Daphnia pulex: one gene and its partner. Each later gene encodes a partner of the first gene's protein in a complex. Links are inferred from orthologs where the notes say so. Each region holds a gene or a part of one and is shown on either strand. Other genes may lie near its edges.

Region 1 (4,377 bases):
CAGACAAGATAATATTTTGTGAACCTGATCGTTTGTCAGATCTAAGTTTGGAACTTCCACGAATAAATTACTCTCGAAATGGATTAGAGTATCGATTTGCTTATGGAATCTCGCAAACGGACGGTTACGCCGAATCAGAAAAGGTAATTTTCCGAGCATAGATTCCCCCTCCGTTATTTGAAATATTTTACTTTTGATTTCCACAGATCTTGAAACTTGATGTGAATTCCAGAGATGTTAAAATATGGGCAAAAACTGAATTCAGTCCATCTGAACCTGTTTACGTTTCACGCCCTGGATCGACAGATGAAGATGACGGAGTTATCTTGTTTTCTGCAGTACATCAAGTTGATGTTAAGAAAGTTTTACTCGTGATTTTAAATGCAGCTACCTTTGAAGAAGAAGCTGTCGTAGAGTATGTTGCTTCTGGAGTGGTGACGAAAGATTTTCATGGCCTTTTCTCTCGAACTGGCGATGCATTGCATGGTTACTGATATGAAATGAACTCTTATTAAACACAAGGGAATTTTTCTCCCAAATTATGTACTCTCTAATCAAACTAAGGTATTTCAATTTTGTGGGCTTTTAAATTCCAAAGAAAAAATGCTTGTAACTATTGATTCCACTTAAATTACAAAGAAATACAAATACAATATCTAAATACTTGTTCTGCAGTTTATTTTTTTTTTTTTTTTTAATTGTGAATAGCGCTTCTGGTAAAGATTTTTGAATACCACAAGTGAATGTGAATTGTTGAATAATCAGTTTACCTAGTGTTCCGAGTAGGTAAACTGGGTCTGTGATATCACCAATGCCGCACATGTCGCAGGACGCAAACGTGTTTCGTTTTCAGACTGCCAACAAAAATTCTCCCTAAACCACATTTCAGACGAGTCGATTGCAAACGTTTAGTTGATTGCTTTGAGAAAGTGGCAAATAAAAGCACGATTCATTTTTCACCACATATGATAAAAACTCATCATATACAATAAAGGCCGCTATGTATATTTTCGATATTTGGGTATCGATTTATTTTTGTTACATCCAGGATCTAGGTTGTTCGTACGAGTGTTCCGTTTGGCAACAACCTATTAAATTATTTTAATTTGTTGAAAAAAGTTTTTTTTTTTTTTCATTGATTTAAATTTCTAATAAATCAATCGAAATCATTTAAAAATTGAAATTAAATATGAAATATATAGATGAGATAAAAAATGTGCTTTGATTTTACTGTGTTTGACTATTATATAAAGTACTGCTGCAAACTACATGAAGCCATGAATAAAATTTTCCGTTTCAAGCCGAACCGAACAAAATCCGACCCAACCTATTGAGTTCGTAGGTTTGCCGCCTTTTGCCGCTCCGAATACGACTAAGGGGTGATTCAAACAAAGACTCGCGCTCCGAGTTTCACTTGTTTTTTAATAACCTATGGCGCTGATTCGCGGGTTAAGTCGCCTGCTCTTGTACTCTTCTTGTATATTCTGAATGCACGAGGATTTAGAAAAATAACCATCGATGCAAGAAGGAAAATCTTGCAAATTGCTAAACAAATTATTTTTATCCACAGTCTAATACGCTAAATAGGTAAGTTTATTCAAGAACTCGTAAACTTAAAGCGCCAGCTAGCCGACTTTTTTGGATGGGACTTTTTGGCTCTTGTTTTCTCCCGGTTCGTTTTGGTGGTCGTTTCTAACGGTAACGTTGGCTTTGTGTCCCGCACTGTCGTAATCAGATCGTCTCTCGTATAGGATTGTGTCATTCATCTGGGACTATTACTAGTCGATCTTTTCCTTCACATTTCTTATTAAAAGTTACCAAAAGATGATCATTTTGTCTTACTGACATTTGTTGTTGAGATTTGTTTTGGCATTCTGTTCTCATCTCTTATACTGGTTCCTCTAAACTTCAGTGCACAGTGTGTATGATCAAACGCCATGCCGCTTCTACGTCGTCAACCGTTCGTTCCTCAGCCACCTCCACTTGATATTCGTCCAGAAGAGGAAATATTCTATTTCCCTGTGACTAATGAAATCTTCAGAGACTATGAGTATGTATTTGCTTTTATCCAACATAAGCTTGTTAGTGATCACAGTCAAGCATGTTTGCATATTGTGAATCTTATATGTTACCGTTTTAATGCAACTTTACTACTGATAGCATTCTATGTTATCAGACGGTTTGTGCTGTTTTTCATCATCCCTGTGTTTGTTTACTTTCAGAGCATTTTTTGAGAGGACCATTCTTTGCAATTCTTTGGTTTGGTCATGTTCATTGACAGCTAAAAGCAATTTGACTTACCAAGAAGCCATTGAAAGTGAAAAACGAGCACTGCAGTCTGTTAGTGACATTCCATTAGAGGTACTCATTCAATTTTTGTATTTATCTCAGATCACTGATTAACATTTCTTTATCACTAGTTGAGGCAACCTCTACTTCTCATTGCTTCCCTCACATGCAGAGGAAAAGTAAATGAAACATGTGATGATGTTTATTACTTTATGAAAGATCGTTATTTCAAAAATGAACATGTGGAAGCAATTCTACGCTCTAAGTGGTATCCTGCACAAGTAATACGGGTTGTACCTCCTACTATTGAAGAACTTGAACAGTACAAACAAGAACTTGATGATGAGCTCAGCACAGAGGATAAACTATTGATGCTAGATCAATATGGGCCTCCACCTGAATTATTTAAATATGAAGTTAAAGAAGAATTCAACAGCAAAGATGGATCTGTTGGTCCCATTCACACGGTATTTCGGATTTTAATATGATAACTTTATACCATTGCGCGTCTAAATTATCAACGCTTTCATTTCTAGGTCACAGTAGATTGCATTAGAAGAGAAAAAGGCTTTTACTCTCGAGAAAGGGTACGGTTGTACTTGCGATACTGCTTGCAGTTTGATGAATGCGAGGGTATCTGGGTTGTTAAGGTCAGTTTAGACTACGATTGATAATATTGAAAATTATCTTAATCACTCATTAAAAATTGTTTTTCTTAGCCTGAAGCATGGAACAAATTGAATATGGATTCTATCAAATACTCTGAATTTTTTACGGGCGAAAAGCCGAGGTTTGAAGAAAAACGAGCTCCAAAGAAAGTCAATAAAAGCTTGTCAACTAGTAAGGGAGGTGAGACGCCCAAAGCGTCTAAAACACCCAGAACACCTAAAACACCATCCAATGACAAAGACAGCAACGGGAAGGGCACTCCGGTAAAAGGTACCCCAAGTAAAAGAGGGCAGCCGGACGCAGTTCGGAATGCAAAATCCGCCACCAAAAGTCCTAAGTTAGATGCTGAAGCGTTGGCGAAGGAATTCATAAAGTAATTGAAATTTTTATTCGTTCTGTTTCTTTAATACTAAAATGTCAATTTCAATGATAGGATTCGTGAAGAACGCGAAACTCTTAGGCAAATGGCTGATCAGCGAAAGCAACAAAAGGTCGACGAGAAGTTGCTGGCTAAAGAAAAGAAAAAAGAAGAAAAACGTGTTATGGCTGAATACGTCAAAGTATGGTTGAAACATAATATAAATAGAGGCAATTTATTTTAACAAATTTAATCCATTTTAGGAATGGAGCAAAATCCGTGAGGATTTAGAATGCGACGATCTTAAAGATTTGCCTTCGCCCACTCCTATTCAATGTGCCATCCCTAACGGTATCTTTGGAGACTTCGTTATGGTGTTGGAGTTCTTCTTGGGATTCGGCGAAGAATTACAATTGAAAGATGCTTTTCCAGGAGGGCTTACTTTTGAACTCTTAGAACGCGCCGTCGTAGAAAACGAAGTGTCTGGTCCTCTTAGCGATATTTTACAAACATTGCTTAGCTCTTTGTTCGAATTTCAAGACGCTGAATCTGAAGAAGTTAAAGAAGCTGGAAGTACGACAAGTGGTGTTCAGGAGTCAGAAGTCGAAGGCGGATTAACTTACCAGGTAGGTGACTCGCATACTATTTCATTTGATGGCTTTAACCTATAAGTTTTTATAATATACATATTTTTATTTGAAGGGTACTCCTCTTAAGAAGCTGTCTATGGATTCCTTAACCGTATCAGAAATATTACGACTTCACTTAATATCGTCTGGTGGCGGTAGTAGTGAACTTCGTACAAAGTGGCGGTATCAACAAAGAGGTGGATATAGTGCTGCTGATGATCCTGGTGTTCAGTTGCGTCAGGAAGATCCTCATATTCTACATGCCTTGTCTCACAGCACGGTATACGAATTGCCCGTCGGTGATAAAATGAAAGTTATCAAATGCCTTTGTCATCAAATACTCACATATGCATCAATAAGAGACATACTCGAAGAAAAGAGTACTAAATTAATCCATTTACGTCAAGAACTGAAAGCTCTGCATGCCAATGA
Region 2 (2,518 bases), on another chromosome or scaffold:
TCTTGTAGTTTCACAATTTGTTCCTTTATGAACCGGACCAATGTACTAGTCCACTCTATATAACAAAAAAATGATTATAATTGCAGATAAAATAAATTATTTAAATCTTGGAAACTACCTTGAGAGGAATCTGGAACTTGACGCTTTTTCATTTTGGCTTCAGAAATAGCCACTGAATACGCAGATGTCATCTTGATTAACCATATTGCTCTAGACATAGGAACCTGATATTCACTTAGTTGGATAAATATTTCTTCCTTCTTGTTGAATATTGGCACCTTGTAAAAGGAATCAAAAGTTGGTATTTTTATTTGTTTAAGATATTCTGAGTATAATATTACTCTTTTTCCTAGATTCATCAAAGGTTTGCTGCCTGCTAAGTCTTTGAACCAAGACTCAATGAATGCCTTGGACTTTGGAGTAACATTATGGAAATTTTCTTTGGGATTGATGAGTTGGCGTTTTCGGCCAGTATCAGGCAATGTGTTGATTTCTTGTTTTTTTGTAAGCACTCCATTAATAAAAGTTTGGACCTAACATTAGGAAAGAATAATAAAATGGTTGTCAGCCTAGAACAATCTATGAACATCATACTAATTACAGTAAATTGTAGTTTACCTTTGATAAAGAAAAGTTGTGATTTTTAGCAGATCCATACTCTTCAGACTGATTAAGATTGGGTGTATGAGAAAATCCTTGTTTCACATTGACAGGAGTCAGTTCATCCTAAAAATAGTATTCCAAATGTTAATGAAAGGAAAACATAAAGAATTATCCTTTTTTTTAAATGAAACTGCCTTTTGGCAACTAGCATTTTCGTACTTGGGCTCATAAAAAAGCTGCAGCTACATTCAAAATATTACCTCTTTTTGTTTGGGATCCTGTGGGTAAACATCGGGCGGTCCTAATCTCAATTTTTTAAGAGGACGATTTTCCATTGATAAACAAGCCATAACTAGCTCTAAAATCAATTTCCACGCAGAAGTATAAATTTGTTACCACACATCAATGTTTACACAACACAAGTACACAAGTAATCAAATACTTCTAAATTCTTATCAAGAGTTCCGATTTTCAGACCATGGTTCAGACAGATATATCAGTGTGATGGCTTTGCTACAACGTTGCATTTCTATAATTTGCTGTTACGGCACACATAAAGAATAATTGGAGATGAATGTATTTGAATTTTGGACTAATCGTAGTCTAGCAACTGAATTTAGAAATAGTTATTAATACAATTGGTATCAATTTATTATGAACAAATTAATGACAAAATATGCTCCTTGCATTTTCAATTTTCATTGATCACATCTTGGCAGTGCTGTAAAAGTCAGCAGACTATATTTTGAACATTTCTATTTTGGCATTTTGTTAGAAATTGTAGTGGCGCGGAATTGCTGAATTGATTGAAGTGAAGGACTAAATCAAGTGAAATTAAATTAAGAATGTCTTCCTTTAAACCGAAATTAGGAGACGGCTCCATAATATTACCACAAGCACGAGTAAAAATGATTATGAAGAGTTCCCCAGATACTGAGAGCATATCCACTGACGCATTATACTTTGTAACAAAAGCAACGGTATTTTTAGTTTGTTTCCAGATAATTTTTTCATCTTATTTTTCTCATCTTCATCTAAAATGTTTCAATGTTTTAAGGAGTTTTTTGTAGAACATTTAGCCCAAGAGATTTATGAAAGTACCAAAAAGTCAAATGAGCTTACTTACAAAGGTCTAGCTGACATTGTTCAAAAAAGTGATTCTATGCAGTTTCTCAAAGGTACTGTGTTACTAAATGGTATTAGTAAAATTTTAATTTATTATTATTATTGTGTTTTCAGATATGGTTCCTAAGAAAATAACATACAAGGAATATCAAGAAATTCTGAAGGAAAAAGGAAATGGTGACTTGTTTTGAGTGTTTATTCAAATTCATTTCTGTCTTCAACATTACTTGCTCATATTTATAAGTGTTCCACTAAGGAAAGTTCAATTTCAAATACATTGATTGAACCCATTGTTCCTTTACGATTCACATCAACTAAGATAGTTTGGTGGTTCAATAGACTGCAGTTAATGTACTGTTGTAATTAATTAATTGCGGTTTTATGTGACCATTTGTTAGCCTAAACGGGTGTGTCCGTATTTTTTTCTCCCTCAATTTAGCGTACGTTATTTTCAAACCACAGCTGCTGCAATAAGCAAAATGGCAAAGTTCAGCGTGTCACCCATAGATGGCGAAAAAAGCAGTCTAAAAAAACAAAACATTTGATTTTGATTTTTGACATTTTGACACTAGAAGGGCTACTCTAATTTCTAAAAGGATGGCGAACTCCAACCGTGTTACAGTAATACATACTGGATATTCTTCTACCACAATTGAGGAAAAAGACGAAAATCTTCCTTTCGTCCGTGCAAATTGCTCATGCGTATTGGTTACCGGCAGTAAAAATAGTAACAAACAGCACAATCCAAATATGTTCGCAATAACGTGATAACAGTTAATAAATTATTTTT

Evidence for each region. The genes of interacting proteins can lie anywhere in the genome.
Region 2: bromodomain adjacent to zinc finger domain protein 1A-like (region 1) and chromatin accessibility complex protein 1-like share a complex: the UniProt entries of both Homo sapiens proteins name them as parts of the CHRAC ISWI chromatin remodeling complex. The link is inferred for Daphnia pulex from reciprocal best matches to the Homo sapiens genes BAZ1A and CHRAC1.

What each region holds. Positions count from the first base shown.
Region 1 is NC_060028.1:6,190,413-6,194,789, reverse strand, and holds the start of bromodomain adjacent to zinc finger domain protein 1A-like, read left to right. Parts: upstream 1-1,424; 5' UTR 1,425-1,587; intron 1,588-1,912; 5' UTR 1,913-1,937; coding exon 1,938-2,050; intron 2,051-2,222; coding exon 2,223-2,361; intron 2,362-2,420; coding exon 2,421-2,756; intron 2,757-2,825; coding exon 2,826-2,939; intron 2,940-3,008; coding exon 3,009-3,331; intron 3,332-3,391; coding exon 3,392-3,518; intron 3,519-3,579; coding exon 3,580-3,942; intron 3,943-4,018; coding exon 4,019-4,377. Other genes in the region: carotenoid isomerooxygenase-like, read left to right, coding at 1-143, 207-494. UniProt on the Homo sapiens protein: Regulatory subunit of the ATP-dependent ACF-1 and ACF-5 ISWI chromatin remodeling complexes, which form ordered nucleosome arrays on chromatin and slide edge- and center-positioned histone octamers away from their original location on the DNA template to facilitate access to DNA during DNA-templated processes such as DNA replication, transcription, and repair.
Region 2 is NC_060025.1:6,928,252-6,930,769, forward strand, and holds chromatin accessibility complex protein 1-like, read left to right. Parts: upstream 1-1,332; 5' UTR 1,333-1,448; coding exon 1,449-1,583; intron 1,584-1,660; coding exon 1,661-1,781; intron 1,782-1,842; coding exon 1,843-1,919; 3' UTR 1,920-2,018; downstream 2,019-2,518. Other genes in the region: mediator of RNA polymerase II transcription subunit 12-like, read right to left, coding at 1-55, 119-278, 342-533, 619-726, 864-953; metallo-beta-lactamase domain-containing protein 1-like, read left to right, coding at 2,326-2,455. UniProt on the Homo sapiens protein: Forms a complex with DNA polymerase epsilon subunit POLE3 and binds naked DNA, which is then incorporated into chromatin, aided by the nucleosome remodeling activity of ISWI/SNF2H and ACF1.